3 linked regions of the Arabidopsis thaliana genome follow. The protein of the gene in region 3 interacts with the protein of the main gene of each other region in a pairwise test. Each region holds a gene or a part of one and is shown on either strand. Other genes may lie near its edges.

Region 1 (5,321 bases), on a different chromosome or scaffold from region 3:
TTCCTTTGGGGTGATATAAAGAGTAAAGACGGGAGAGAGAGGAGGAGGAAGCATTATTAGAAGCGGTAATGGCGGAGAGAGTGAAAAAAAGAGAGGCAGAGGTAGGAATTGGAGAGAGGAGGGAGAACGCCATGGAATTAGATAGTTTTGCTCTTTGAATGAAGAAAGCTCACATCTCCATTCAAAAGCGAGAGGAGCAAGGAAGACCAGCAAAACCCGAGAGACGGCCTCTGAGAGGATAAAGTATGACTTTGACTTTATATGTTTATTTATATAAATCTTATTAGGATAAAACTCTATTTCTTATTTATATTCAAACCCAAAATTTCAGAATAAGCATAATTGCTAACAATTTTATTTTAACTGTATCTTAAAAATAATAATGTATGTTGCGTCTATTTATAAATTTAAAATTTGTTTATACTATTTATCATTTGTGTTAAAATTGGCTAATTCTTCTAGTGAACACATCCTTATACGTGGCGTTTGTAATTATCGGGTTAGTTACCAATTACGGAGAATAAAAAAAAAAAAAAAGTAGAGAGCTATTCCCGCGGTAAATTCTTCAACAACTATCTATTTACCTTTACACCAAATGTTGAAAGAAAAAACAGAATCAAGACATTCAAAAACGAAAGCAGAAAGCCAGAAAGAACCTGAAAATCTTGATCTCCACCGTTCTTAGTACATACTAAGATTCATTTTCTCGAAAAAGGAAAAAGAACCGAAAAAAAAAATAAGAGACGCAAGTATGCACAATGCCTAACCTTTCCACCTACAATAAGTTTTGGAGCTGTGAGTCCAGTCTCTGCTGCAACTCTTTTACCTTCTGCGAAAGCTCAATCTTCTGCTCCTTATAGCTTCTAAGTAGATACTCTTTCCCATCTATCACTTCTTTAAGCTCACTCACTTCCTTTCTCAACATCTCTACTCTTTCTCCATCCCTTAGGCTCTTTTCTTGTGACTCATAATTGCTTTCGCTGTCCATAAACCCGCCATTCCAAGGTCCAACCGGAGATGTCTTGCCATTGCTGTCCGCGCCACATCCCACGCTGTGATCAGCAATTGCCTTTCTCAGTCTTTGAACTTCTCTTTCTGATTCAAACAGATCTCTGTTCAGTGTGTCTAGCTGTGCCTGGAGATGGCTTGAGTGTGCCGTCTGTGCGTTATACGAGTTTTGCAGCTCTAGAATCTGTTCTTGCATTTCCTGTATCATGTCATCCCGTCTCTTCAGCTGCTGCCTTAGTTTCTGTATTACTTCTCGTTTGCTGAAAATGTCTGAGCTGGTTTCAGATACGCAAGGAGAATCTGAGCAGTTTGAATTGTGATTGTATGGTCTTGGGGGAAGTTCCAGGCGATCAGGAGAAGTTGCCCACATGACTCCATTCTCTTTGCTCGATGGAGCAGGAACTGTCACAAGAGGCAGTGAAGTGTCAGATGCGGATATCATTTGCTCGCTTGTCACCTCTTTTCCTTCCACACTCTCAGTTCCTATAAAAATAAAGAAGCAAAGGCTGATAAGATCCATACACGACTGTTTGCTCTGGACTACATGAATATTAGGATTCAGAGATTTTCCAAAGAGAAAACATAACTCAGGTCTGGATCTAATAGTACAAAACTTGTAACTATGCTTAACGAGGTCTTGGTAGATAACAAAACTAGTAACTGTTTTTAGCATTCAGCCACTAGACACAGCCATCAATGGAGAAAACCTGCTTCCCTAGTTGCCAGCCCAATTGATGCAAATTAATGGTAATATGCCACAACGAAACAAGAGATATTCGATTCAACCAGTTATTGCAAGGTGGCAAATCTTGTAACTATTTTACTCATTCCATAACTTCGAATTGGATTCCCCTAGTTGACAAATACATCATGAGGTAAGATAACAGAGGCTAGAACTCTATAACAACATCTACACATTCTCCCAACTAGATTTTACTATATATCACACATCGTTTTAACTTCATGAAAGGAAACCCAGTAAGACATGATGCGAGACCAAGAAACAAGCATATAGCGTTTGTTTAGTAGATTGAACAAATATGTATGAGGCAAAACAGAAAGTTACAAAGTCACACCTGGAATGGAGCGGAAGCAACAAAAATCATTATTTTGTGTACAGGAAGATGTGGTAGAGTGTAAGCAACAGCTTGTAGATTTTTGCCTCTCAGATGTTCCATTAGCTGCACAAGAGGCTTTCATTTAGTGATAGAAAAAAACTAGAACCAAATTATAAAACATGTTAAGCAACACAGCGATAAAGTAAGTACGTTTTAATCCAGCAGAGCCATTTGATTGAGGTTTCGAATCAAGCGACTGCTTTAGCTTGTATCCAAAGCGAATGGACAATGTGCTCAACAATGCACCCCCTGCAATTAGTATCCAGTTTGGCCCTTCACCACAAAATTTATCACCTCGCTGATGCTTGGAAATGCCATTTCTTCGTGTACTCATTGTATGAGAAAGTCAAAATGTATCTATCATCCAAACATAACCTACATTGAACGGATACAAGAATCAATCATCATCAACGATCAGAATGAATTGGGCATATGTCAACAAGAAACCTGGTGTCAACTCAATAAAATCAACAAATATACAATTTTAAAATCATCAAATGCTTAATACCCAGAAAGATTCCAGAAACTAGAATATGAAAAGATAATGAGCACAAAGAATCACGTTTTGAGCATTACCTCAAACACAGTCAACCAGAGAAGGAAAAACAAAAAAAAGATCTAAAATGATAGTAACACTGAAAAGAGAAAGACAAAAAAAAAAATGGAAGATTCTCTAAGTCAAACATTCTCAGTTGAGAAAGTATACGACGAATCCATGGAATCATATAGGAGCACAGACTCTACCTCAAAAAAAGCAAATGCAAGAAAAATGGAGTTCCCTGAAAGAGTAATCGAAACGTTGATGCCATGGGATTTAGATTCTAAAACTACAAAAGCAAGAAGAAGAGATAGATACTTGCCTTGAACATGAAGCGAAATGAAAATAATAACAACCCTTATTTTTTTCGATAGGGGCCGTTAATCGATATCCCAACAACCCTTAATGAACACAACAATCGCAATCAGAAGGAGAATAAGGAATTACATAAATCCGAGCTCGAAAATAGATTTTCCGACGAATCAAAAATCAGTGAGCGAGCGAAGCACCCAAAAACAGGGAGAGTATAAAGGACTCTTTAAAAAACCTCATAGACAGCAGAAAATGGGCATTAGGGCTCCATAGTTTCCCTCCCGAGCCAGAAAATTTCTCCCGCTTGAGTTTCAATGTTTGATGGGTGGTCCTTGCAGCTTCGAGAATCGAAAAAAATCGCTGAGAGAGAAATACGATTCCGTGAAGAATCGCAGAGTCTCCGACGATGATATGACTGTAAAACCCCCGGGGAGGAGAGAGAGAAGCAAAGTGGAGGGGAAGAGGTTGAAGAGAGACGGCGCCTCACAGTTACAGCTCCGTTGTTGTTTTTTCCTTCCACTGTTAATTCATTTATTAAAATAAAATCACGCACGCGTCAACCACGTCCCATGGATGACGCTCACGGTGGTTAACAAACTCAGCTCATATGTTTTTTTCTTCTTTCTTTTCTTCTTTACGATTTCAATTTTTTAGTAATGAAATTTAATAGATAATTTGAGTATGAATGAACATTTGACATCTTTATCCATGTGTAAATGTTTGCACTTTCTGTTGATTATTTTTTTTTTTCTATTTTAAGTCACTACCAGCTAATGTGATGATACATTTTTCTTTTGTCTTCTTCACTATGTGACAACTACAAAATTAAATATTTGGTCCTTCCTTCTCTAACGATTTTCTTCCTTATGAATATCAAAACCTGACTGAAATAAGTGCCAAATTAAATTTTAGCAACCCTTCTTTCTCTTTCCTTAAGAACAAGTAACCAACTTTCTTGTAAAAAACTTCAACTGCAATTCTACAATTTAAGCCTTGAGACACGATATTGTATGAGTTTGCAACTTTCGAATATCCACTTCACCAAGAGAAAAAAACAATTTGGATAAAATCATAATTGACACCCAAAACAATGTAGTCAGTTGATAAGTTTCCCCGGAGAAATTGAGATATTTTTGAACAAAGATTCATATTTTTTACTCGGGGAAACAAAAGAGAGTGGTAAGAATGCACAATGCCTAACCTTCTTCACCTACAAAATGTTTGGGAGCTGCGAGTCCAGTCTCTGCTGCAACTCTTTTACCTTCTGCAAAAGCTCTGTTTTCTGCTCCTTATAGCTCCTAAGTAGATACTCTTTCCCATCTATCACTTCTTTAAGCTCACCCACTTCTTTTCTCAACATCTCTATTCTTTCTCCATCCCTTATTCCATTTTCTGGTGACTCGTAGTTGTTTTCGCTGTTCACATCGCCACTCCAACCATTGCTACCTGTGTGTCCCACGCAGTGATCAGCGATTGCCTTTCTCAGTCTCTGGACTTCTCTTTCTGATTCAAACAGGTCCCTGTTTGTTGCGTCTAGCTGTGTTTGGATATGGCTAGAGTGTCCCATCTGGGCGTTTAGCGAGTTTTGCAGCTCTAGAATCTGTTCCTGCATTTCAACTATCATGTCGTCACGTCTCTTCAGCTGTTGCCTCAGTTTCTGTATTACTTCTCGCTTGCTGAAGATGTCTGAGCCGGATTCAGATACGCAAGGAGAATCTGAGCAGGTCGAATGTTGATGGTATGCTTTCATCGGCACTTCCAGGTGGTCAGGAGAAGATCCCCATACGACTGCACTCTCTTTGCTATATGATGAAGCAGGAACTGTCACAAGAGGCAGAGAAGTACTGGACTCTGCCATTTGCTCATTTGTAGCATGATTTCCTTCCCCATTCTCAGTTCCTGCATAAATGAAAATAAGAAGCCAACTCTCAGAACACCCACACAAAACTTTTCTGCCATAACACAAGCCATCATTGGGGGATAATACTACAGCCTTCATAGTTTCCAGCTCATTAACGTAAGTAGCTACTTAAGTATGAATCCTGATTGGGGTACAAAGACATCTTTAGTCAAATATTGTTCCTGATTGGGTTACAAAGATCATTATGCAAGATACTAGAGGCTACAAATATGTAAGAACCATCTCCATATTCTTTCAACTATTTGACAACATCTCCCAAAATCTCTTTTCACTTCAAAGATACCACAAAATCAAACCCCAGTAAGAGACTATGTGAAGTGAAGTTATGTATAAGCAAATTCAGTAGTAAGAATAACAAACTCACAAACTCTCACCGGGAGTGCAGTGAAAGCAACAATCATTATTCCTTTCACAGGGTGATGCA
Region 2 (5,423 bases), on a different chromosome or scaffold from region 3:
CAAACCTCCATTTCTAAGGTCACAATTGTTTGCTCGTTACGCAAATAAGTCCAAGGTCAACTATATAATATAATACTCATAAAAATTCAATCCCTACTTTCTTAAATATTACTCAGAAATAAATAAAATATAAGTCACCAGAAATGTGGGTTGACTTGGGAGATAATACGTTATCACATTTGTAGCTGAGTCACATATTGTGGAGTTTTTATTGGCACTAGTTGGATTTTCGTGGTCGGATCAAAATCCATACACATTTTCATCATACTGAGTCCAATTTTTTAATAAATGGTTTGAACAATTCTGACATACGGGAGCTCTTATTTTGGACTTAACCGTCTCTTTTACATTATCACTTTAGTTCCACTGAGCCGTTTTACTCAAATTACATAAGCATTTTGTTTTCTACAAACATTGACATTCCTAATACAATGAGTTTCTCCATGAAATTTCTTTTCCTTTTTTACTCTCTACATAATAATTTCGTAATGTTGGACATTTTTCAAGATGATGACAATAAAGTTGAAAATAATAATGTTCTAAAAGCTAAAATGTCAAAAATGACAGACCAATAGGCAAAAAGCGATAAAAGGGAAAAAATAAAGTCATTTCCCACTTCTCCTGTATTCTCTCGTCATTTATTTAACAAGTAAAGCCATTTTCAAAGTGGTTGACAGCATGATTCAGAGATCAAGCATGACAAAATACCAAAGTCTAAAATGGAACAAACAACATATTATATAACACACAGGTTTATGATCGGACGACATTAGAAATAGGGGTTTGATCAAAAGGCCCGAGGGGTTATGAACTCCAAACACAGATTCTCTGAAGAGTTGAGAAGACTGTAAAAGGAAGGGATTTGCAAATTGCAAGTCCACAGCTAAATAAATGGCGAAGAAAATGATTGTTGCGTTCTCAAAACAATATAGTAAGAGAGAAACTTTTGCCAAATACAACTGAAGCAAAATGTATCATATCATAATACCAACTTATTCATTTTTTCAGAGTTGCGACTGGAAAAGCAAAGGACTTTTAAATTGCTTAATGAGCTCATTAGGCACTTTTCTTCACCTCTGCGGCCTTAATGATGTCGATAAACTCAGGCTGCAAAAAGACCAAGAATGAAAACATTAGTCATGGTTTTGAAAGAGACAAACGAAAGATATCATTACAAGAGAAACCATATTATATGTACCTTTAGAGAAGCACCACCGACCAAGAAACCATCAACATCGGCCTGTCCACCTAGCTCCTTGCAGTTACCACCATTGACGGATCCTGATAATAATTTGCATAATCAAGCTAAGTAACATAGAAAACTATATAGGGGTGTTTAATTAAAGATCGTGTTATCATCTATCTACCTCCATAAATGATGCGGGTTGTAGCAGCGACATCAGCACTCACGTTCTTGGCCAGCCATTTCCTCAGCTCATCGTGTACCTGTTCATAAACGAAACAAGCTCTCGTAAGGAAAACAGCATTGGTTTTCCTATTAAATCATGACCATATGCAACACGTTACAGTGCAACTGCGCATCGAGAACCACTTACTTCTTGAGCTTGGGCTGGGCTAGCGACCTTTCCGGTTCCAATGGCCCACACTGGTTCATAGGCTATGACAACATTTGACCAGTTTGTCACCCGATCTGCCATTACCAACAAAAAGAGTTTTTTAGCCAACAAATATTTCTGTGGGGTTTGAATCACACACTAAGGGAGTATAGTGCGTAGAAACGGGCATCACTATCATCAAAACAGGTCTCACTGTAAACGAGAACGAACTGAGATAGCAAAAAGAGATTAAATGTTTGACAATATACATACCGGCAATAGCCTTGGTCTGGGCAGCCACAACATCCATGGTCGATCCAGCTTCCCGCTCCTCAAGAGTCTCACCAACACAAGCAATCACTTTCAAACCTTGAGCAAGTGCATAGGCAACCTTGTCTCCGACGAACTACAAATGTAGGATAGAGGTCAAAAACCAAAATCATGAATTTAAAAGCTATTTGAGTCTCCAGAAAATTATTTTATCATGTAAAGTCACCAACCTCGCTTGATTCATTAAGGATTGCCCTCCTTTCAGAGTGACCAAGGATAACCCATGGAATATCCAAGTTCACAAGCATCTCCGCACTAAAACACACAAATTACACAATGCATAAGAGCAGGAAATACAGGCACCACAGAATATATCTTTTCTTCCTATGAAAGCATTCCATAGACAGGTAAATCATATTACACCTACTTGTCTAACCAGGCACGAATCCAATCATGGTCTTACTACCAACTACTAGTTGTTTTCTTAATCACTTAGGTTACACAATTCTTATAGGAAAGAAGATAAAGAAGAAGAACAGATGGAAAAATCGATTCGTTTATAAACACAATCATATTCATTTTCAAAACCATAAATATTTACTGCATGAAGCAATAATGGTAAAACAGCTTAAAGTATACACCAATGGTTAGAATCTCACCTCACTTCACCAGTGAAAGCACCTCCTTTCTTAACCCAACAGTTTTGTGCCGCAACAAAAAAGTCAGACCTCAATGTGCTCTTAACCAGGGGAAGAAAAACATATGGAGGGCTAACCACAACCTCTGCATTTAGTAAAATTTCATCAAATTATTAATACAAGAACAAACATACTTATAACTATCAACAAAGATAGAACCATAACAAGTATATGATAAAGAACATTTTAACTAACAACAAACACTAGATCTATCCATGGTTCCTAAGAAGCATAAACACTATAGAACATCGATGTACATTGAAACAGGTTTGTAATTGTATGCCCAAAATATTTGTCACTACTTAAGATTTCATAGACATGGAAATTAAAAAAAAAGCCATAATGTCGTCAAAGCAATTGAGATGCTACACATACCTACAACATCCTGTGAAGGAACCTGAGCTTCATTAAGAGTGTTCACAATCTTCTTCACCTCCTCAGCAGTTCCGTTCTATATAAGATTACAAATTCAAATATTAACATGTTAAAATAGTTTAACCAACAAAATTAACACACGGATCCACCAAAGCTAGAACACGAGATATCAATTGAAGAAAAATTCCTACTCAAAATTTTGACAAAAAAAAACAACTAAGATCCGGCATAGAATCGACAAATCTGAACCATATGCATTACAATTCAAATTCCACCGCTACAAATAATGAAAAAAACCTTAGATCTTAAGATCGGGATTTTCCGATCTCTTTGACTTGATCGGGGAAGGATCAAGTGACAAGACTAATAATAAGGTGCGCAATAGAAGGTAAAGATCACTTACACATTTCCAGTTGCCTCCGACGAAGAACTTTCTGGCCATTATCTCAAATTTTTTTCAGGCGATGATCACGAGAGTCACAGATACGACGACGATGGAGAGAGCTGAAAAGATTAGATCGATAGTGTTCAGTGGCCGTTGTCTCTCGCAGGGGTCACTCATATATATATAAATAAAAATATACTCTCAACATTTTAGATTGGAAAAGACGCATATGTCTAGGGTATATGAGAATATTCCCTGAACGATTAGGAAAGTTGAGGATATTAAAGTAAATTAGGAGGGAGGATGAAATATTATGGACGTGTTGGCCAAGGTTTGGTCGGTGTACCGGGTGGGGTGAATAATAAGAATAGACAACGGCGTGGATAGTGATGCTGTTGTATGGGCTTTAGGCCCATTAAAGCAAGCACATCAATAAAACCCAAGTTTGGTTAAAGGAAAGCCTATTGAGATGATTCTGAAACCAAATTATATTTGTATTCCCTTAAAGATAAATTCTGTATTACGCAATTCTTTCTTTTTTTTTCTTTTTTTTTTTTGGTAAAAGTTTAAATCGTATTATGCAATTCTATATTGTAATGCCCCTTCTTGGATACAAATAGTGTGGAGAAGGAGAAAACTGTTGTAAGTTCTCAAGTTAAACTACTAAACCACCATGAGAGCATTGAGCCGGCTCACTTCAAACATTGTGGCATACTTCAACAAACATATTGTTAGTCTAAAGGGCTATCGAGTGGCATCGATTATTTTATGTGATATCATTAAAAAGTAACAATGGTAATTTGTTATTGCAAAAAATAAGGATGGGATTTAATTAAAAAAATACAAAATTACGTGGTTTGTGTGTGTGTGCAATGAGTGTAACCATGTCATTGAAAATGACAATAAACTGTTAACAATGAGACATGGACGCGGATCTTCTTTTCCCAAAGAAAGCATAACAAATGGCTAAAGCGTGTCGGTAAAAGTTACTTCGAATCAGCTTCCTCAACAACATCTTCATACTTCGAATCTCTTTGACTTTGGTCCGTAGTGTTCAAACTCCAAACTATTCCTCCTACAAACACGTGTCCAATGGGCCAATGGCATTATCCCAAACCGCGTCGATCTCTCTTCTTTTTCTTTTCACTTAATATTTAACCATATACATTTCGTTGATACATCAATATTACTAATCGATTTTTTTTTTAGTTTTAAGTTTAGCAGTAAAAACTCAGATAGTCTCCTTTGACCTCATTAAGAACATCTTTTAATAAACGTATCCAAGAAAAAACAACACTCGATCTCTCTTTTGTTTTCTTAACTTCACTTTAGTTCCTTTTTTTCAAATATAGTTCATCCGTATCTGGATAAAATTAGGATTGTAAAATTACGATTAACAAGAAAGAGGTATATTTTTAGATTAAACTTGGATAGTATGAGTATTTACCAGCCAAAAACCATTAAAGAAAAAGATGACAAATTGATTATCCAAACAAAAGCAGACTCTATAATTAGCCAAATTAATTAACTAAAGTTTCCACGGTCACAACAAAATCCACTTTTTCAATAATTTACAACGGCCTAAATTTAAGCCGACGCACATGAAAAACAAAGACAACACAAACTTCTTCTTTTATTTTGCTTTCCACAAAATCCAGCTGTTCCTCACTAAAAATATACACACGTATACGCTATACAAAACGGTCATATCTATTAATTTTTATTATAAATACTTTCTCGATAAGAATAAAAAAATCTATTCGTCGTAATAATAAAAACACAACTCAAACGATTCACGGGTTTCACTTGGAATCGTTTGGTTTTCTCATTTCCGAAATATAAAAAGATGGCCAAAGCGCCACCGTCAATCTCTCTTCTCCTCCTCCTCTGCGCCGCCGTATTCCTCACCATCCCCGCCGTGATCTCCGCCATCGGTGTTAACTACGGAACTCTCGGAAACCTCCCACCACCGACTCAGGTGGCTAACTTTATCAAGACACAAACTTCGATTGATAGCGTCAAGATCTTCGATGTGAATCCCGATATCCTACGTGCCTTCGCTGGAACTGGTATCTCCGTCGTTGTCACCGTTCCTAACGGTGATATTCCGGCGTTGGCTAACGGAAGACAAGCTCGTCG
Region 3 (5,438 bases):
TCTCCGGAGGTGAGGAACTCACGGTGGATAGGGTCTCCGGTTTGATCGTAGTAGTTGAGTCCATCTCCATTGACTTTTTCTTGGTTACTTTCCTTTTTGAGTCTTTGAAGCTTCTTTGGGATTCTTTAAAATAAATTATCTCTCTCAATTCTTACAGATTTGTGTAGAGGCATTATGATAATACTTCTTCTACAAATCACGATTTAAATACTGATTTTTTTTTAACAAAAAAGAAAATAAACAGAACGTTCCTTCTTGCTTCGATCGGTCAAATACGCAACAATTAGTTCTTGTTGAATGGAAGGTGTGAAAAAGACGGTTTATAATGGGTATGGGTGAACCGTATATTTACCATCCATTCATCGTTTTTGATTTAAAAGAGGTATATTCAATCTAGTATTTAAAGTGACTTTCGTAAATTTTACAAGTATATGTTATTTAATTATGGATTTTGAAAATTCTAATGAAATCTAGTGTTATTAAAATAATAATTTAAAAATCTACCTTTAAATTCACTGTTATTAAAAATAATTTATGGATTTGATTTTTATAAGAATGTATTCAATCTAATATTTTAAGTGATTTGTGTAAAATTTATAAATTCTATGTTGTTCGATTATGGATTTGAAAAACTTTAATGAAATCTAGTATTATTGAACTAAAGATTTAAAATTCTATCTTAAAATCTATTGTTATTGAAAATAATTGGTAGATTTGATTCTTATTAATTTTGAAGGATTTGAGAAAGTTCTTTAGTTAAAAATAACAAAATCGAAATTCATGGTCTTATATAGAATTTTAAAATATTTTATAATAAATCACATCAATTTTCCTAAAATCATCAAACTCATATAAAAACTAGCTAAAACTCAAATTGTAAGGTCCAAATTAATGAGTCAACTCAACTCAACTCAACTCAATCCATGAACCCTAATGAGTTGAAAATTTTGACTCAAATGAGTTGATGAGTCAAATGAGTTGATGAGTCAATTGGTTTGATGAGTAAAATGAGTTGGGTTGTAATGGTTAATGGTTTCAATGGTTTATCCAATTAACCCATCAAATTTTGTAAAATTGAATTAAACCAACTAAAATCTCTAAACCAATGCCAATTTAAGTCTAACCAACACATCTAAACCAATTTAATAAAATTAATATTTTTCCAAATTTCTTAAATATACAAGCGATGAAATTGAGAAAAAGTAAACCCGTAATTTTTCCGCCAAAAACGTAAATCCGTGATTTTCCCGCCAAAAACGTAAATCCATGATTTTCCCGCCAAAAACGTAAACCCGAGATTTTCCCGCCAAAAACGTAAACCCGTAAAAAGTGGAATCCGTAAATATATTAAGTTTTGATGATAATGAATTAATAATGATAATTATTTATTATTATTTTATAATAATAATTAATTAAATTATTACTTAAATGGGTTAACCCATTTAACAACTCAACCCATTAAATTAAATGAGTTATGGGTTGACTTAACCCATTTAACAAAATGAGTTGGATCAACCCATAACTCATTTAACCCTAAACTCATTTGATTATGAGTTGAGTTGAGTTGTGTTACCCATTTTGACACACTTAGATCTAATACACCTCTTTATTAATTTTAAAGGATTTGAGAAAATTTAAAAAGATTTATTTAGTTACATATATAAAAATTCAAATCTCATATTTTTACTGGAATTTGATTTTTTTTTTTTACAATAAATCACATAAAAAGACATTAAAACTCAAAATTATTTAAAATATAAGGTTCAATACATATTTTGTCAATAAAAATTTAATAAGCTGCTAATATAGTTCATGAGAAAAATCAAAAATTAATTTATCAATCGAAAAAAAAGACGAAGAAAAATTAATTTATCTACGTAGCGCAAGAGACGGAGTGTTGTTTATTTAAAGAAAAGAAAGAAAAAAAAAAGAACGAATATTAAAATGGCGAGTCGCTCTCTTTTCTCTATCTCAATCTCACCTTCTCAATTTACAGTTTTGCCATCCATCAACAACGAGAGACGACGCCTTGCTATCGCCGCTCGATCTCACCGACTATCACGCCGGAAGATTCGTAAGAGACCTCCTGATAGAGATATGTCCTCCATAGTTTCAATCCCGGAGCTTCCTCGCCGGCGGGATTCTGAGGAAAGCCTGCTTTTAGATTCTCGAATCAGTAAGTTCTTAAAGCAACAGAATCCTCAGAAATTGGCATTTGGGATTAGGTTTTGCAAGTATCGAAGCTCCATTAACTGAATCCTCAGAAATGTGTGTATATGAATAGGTGTAGCTGAAGGAGATACATCGAATACAGATGTAGAAGGAGACAGAGATACTACTTCTAGTATTAGAACACAGCCTCCCCCTCGTAAAGGAAGAAATCTTAGTAGCAGCAGAATCAAATTCTACGGTGTTGAATTATCACCAGATAATGTTGCTGTAGCAATGGTGTATTTTGTTCAAGGTGTTTTAGGACTCGCTAGGCTCGCTGTTAGTTTCTATTTAAAAGATGACTTGCATCTTGATCCTGCTGAGGTATGCTTTTTGTAGTTCCTTGTTGGACTTTCATGGGAATATCTCTTTATAGGCTGACAAATATATACCTCTTGACTAGACAGCTGTGATAACGGGTCTTTCTTCATTGCCGTGGCTTGTTAAGCCTCTCTATGGTTTTATCAGGTATGAGTTCTTTATCACCTCTATACCTCTTGACTGTGATAACTGTTTAAGGAAGTTGGTCTGTTTTGCAGTGATTCAGTGCCTCTATTTGGTTATCGAAGGAGGTCATATCTAGTTCTCTCGGGACTTCTTGGTGCATTTTCTTGGAGTTTGATGGCTGGTTTTGTTGACAGTAAATATAGTGCTGCTTTTTGTATACTTCTCGGTTCCCTCTCTGTCGCCTTTTCTGATGTTGTAAGTTTTCAAATCCATTCTGGTTAACTTAGCTTGGTTAAGTTGCAAGATAGAGTTGGATATATTGAAATATTAATTAAGTGGTTAACGTTTTAATAGGTAGTAGACTCAATGGTAGTGGAACGGGCTCGTGGTGAGTCACAAAGCGTGTCAGGATCGCTGCAGTCTTTGTGCTGGGGATCCTCAGCTTTTGGTGGAATTGTGAGTTCCTACTTTAGCGGCTCCCTGGTGGAGTCATATGGTGTGAGGTACAGTTCACAATTTGCGCAAACAGTAGCTTTTCTCTTTTTCGGTATTCCGTGGCATAGCTAACTAACTAAGTGGCATTCTAAAAGCTGTTATACCTCAGGTTTGTATTTGGGGTGACAGCTTTACTACCCTTGATAACTTCAGCAGTTGCTGTTCTCGTGAATGAACAACGTGTGGTCAGACCAGCATCAGGGCAGAAAGAGAATATAACGCTGCTCAGTCCTGGTTTTCTTCAGACCTCAAAGCAGAACATGATTCAGCTATGGGGTGCCATTAAGCAACCGAATGTTTTTCTCCCCACCTTATTTATATTCTTATGGCAAGCCACACCACACTCAGATTCTGCAATGTTTTACTTCACGTATGTCCTCTTCCACTTGGTTCATGCCTTCATGGTTATTGGCTTATTTCATATTCTCTGGAATGTATTAACTAGTCTCTAACTAATTTTATTTGGTACAAATTTCACCTCAGAACGAACAAACTCGGTTTTACCCCGGAGTTTCTGGGACGAGTTAAACTTGTGACCTCAATTGCCTCATTGCTTGGAGTAGGACTGTACAATGGATTCCTGAAGACTGTTCCATTGAGAAAAATCTTTCTCGTGACGACAATTTTTGGCACGGGTCTTGGGATGACTCAGGTTGGTTCCCGTCCGCTCTTTACAAGAAAAACTTTGCCATCTATTATCTGTTACACAACCAATAACTCTTGGGACCGTTCTTATGTTTTGCAGGTTATCCTCGTGTCAGGTTTTAACAGACAGTTGGGGATTAGCGACGAATGGTTTGCTATAGGAGACTCTCTAATCCTAACAGTCCTTGCTCAGGTTTACATATTTGTCAGCATTGAGTTTTTCAAAGGCTGCATTATTGGAATTTGTGATTCCATAGTTAATGGAGCATTATTGGAATTTGTCAATATCTATGCACTGACAGCTTAAAATCGAACTGTAACAGGCTTCATTCATGCCGGTTCTTGTGTTAGCAGCGAGATTATGTCCAGAAGGAATGGAAGCAACTCTGTTCGCTACACTCATGTCAATCTCTAACGGAGGCAGTGTTCTAGGTGGGCTTATGGGTGCAGGACTGACTCAAGCATTCGGCATTACAAGAGACAGTTTTGGTAACTTATCAACACTTATTATCCTCTGCAATCTTAGCTCATTGCTCCCTCTGCCTCTTCTCGGTCTTTTACCGCGAGATTCTCCAGATACTCTTACTAAAGATGACGCAGACGTTGAGATGAAGTCCAATTAAGGAAGATGATGATAATTATCAAAAGTTAAAATGTGATATACCTTTAGAGGTGTTCTGTGTATTCAGTTCCAACCCTGTTATTACTTGAAAAGAATGAAGCAGGCTTTTACATGGAAACTACTTTTACCCAAAATATCATGTAACCAAAATGTTGTAATTCTTAAAACAATAAACTCTTTTGTTATTAGATTGCAGAAAAATACTTCAATATGCAAAAATAGTCATGATAGTAATCTCTACAAGATAGTTTCTAACATGAATCTTGATTTGATTCAACAGACCTGATTCACTCTTCTTCATCAGCACCATAGTTGTGGCATAGTGATGCGAGTCCCAAACTTGTTGTCTTCTTCTTCTTCAAGGTTATAATGCAAGCAAGTTTCTTAGTCTTAGGTTTCTTCTCATCTACTGCCTCCATTCTTACTTTCTTCGTCTTCTCCATCTCATCAGTTTCTTCGTCGACAATCCTCCTCTGCTTACCAAATTTGGTAGACTTTATCAACGCTGCATCTTCCTCCTTTGCAACTTCTTCTTCTTCTTTGTGTCTTTTACTCAAATCCTCAAGCATAGAGTCTACACTCACCGATACGCGTCTAGATTTCATAGATTTCATCTCATCAAGTGCAGCCATTACATCAACCTCTCTTTTCGAAACCAAAGTTCTCTTCTCTAAAGAACTCATCCTATCCCCACCGTCCTCGGCTTGCTCCTCCTCCTCGTGTTGATCATAAACACAAGTTGCACCTGATTCGGCTACATAACTCGAATTCTTTGGATCAGTCTTCAATATCAGCTCGGTGCAACACTTACTGCACTTGAAGTAAAACCTATGGATTTTGATCCCTAAGTAGGTTTCTCCGATTACGTTTTCTTCACGGCAATTGATTTTGGTACCTTCCGACATGTAATTCCCACAGGTGTTGCATCGAATACGTAATGGAACCATCGAACGAATCTTCCTTTGCTGATTCTTAGGTTTTCGGATCCGAGGAATCTGCTTCGGATCAAAGTTTGGTG

Evidence for each region.
Region 1: the proteins of AT2G32040 (region 3) and AT4G27610 interact in a protein complementation assay, tested with the Arabidopsis thaliana proteins (one large-scale study listed by BioGRID).
Region 2: the proteins of AT2G32040 (region 3) and TPI interact in a protein complementation assay, tested with the Arabidopsis thaliana proteins (one large-scale study listed by BioGRID).

Annotation. Positions count from the first base shown.
Region 1 is NC_003075.7:13,784,873-13,790,193, forward strand, and holds AT4G27610 (intracellular protein transporter), read right to left. Parts: upstream 3,644-5,321; 5' UTR 3,212-3,643; exon of another isoform or gene 2,502-3,211; 5' UTR 2,461-2,501; coding exon 2,277-2,460; intron 2,190-2,276; coding exon 2,085-2,189; intron 1,492-2,084; coding exon 776-1,491; 3' UTR 541-775; downstream 1-540. Other genes in the region: NARA5 (pfkB-like carbohydrate kinase family protein), read right to left, coding at 1-133; AT4G27620 (intracellular protein transporter), read right to left, coding at 4,187-4,875, 5,272-5,321.
Region 2 is NC_003074.8:20,551,712-20,557,134, reverse strand, and holds TPI (triosephosphate isomerase), read right to left. Parts: upstream 3,733-5,423; 5' UTR 3,342-3,732; coding exon 3,303-3,341; intron 2,976-3,302; coding exon 2,900-2,975; intron 2,610-2,899; coding exon 2,486-2,609; intron 2,142-2,485; coding exon 2,057-2,141; intron 1,963-2,056; coding exon 1,830-1,962; intron 1,652-1,829; coding exon 1,557-1,651; intron 1,447-1,556; coding exon 1,368-1,446; intron 1,282-1,367; coding exon 1,199-1,281; intron 1,108-1,198; coding exon 1,057-1,107; 3' UTR 575-1,056; downstream 1-574. Other genes in the region: AT3G55430 (O-Glycosyl hydrolases family 17 protein), read left to right, coding at 5,131-5,423.
Region 3 is NC_003071.7:13,633,172-13,638,609, forward strand, and holds AT2G32040 (Major facilitator superfamily protein), read left to right. Parts: upstream 1-1,922; 5' UTR 1,923-1,944; coding exon 1,945-2,176; intron 2,177-2,264; exon of another isoform or gene 2,265-2,284; coding exon 2,285-2,535; intron 2,536-2,614; coding exon 2,615-2,679; intron 2,680-2,750; coding exon 2,751-2,913; intron 2,914-3,012; coding exon 3,013-3,161; intron 3,162-3,262; coding exon 3,263-3,523; intron 3,524-3,636; coding exon 3,637-3,805; intron 3,806-3,898; coding exon 3,899-3,991; intron 3,992-4,121; coding exon 4,122-4,421; 3' UTR 4,422-4,707; downstream 4,708-5,438. Other genes in the region: AT2G32030 (Acyl-CoA N-acyltransferases (NAT) superfamily protein), read right to left, coding at 1-70; AT2G32050 (cell cycle control-like protein (DUF572)), read right to left, coding at 4,708-5,438.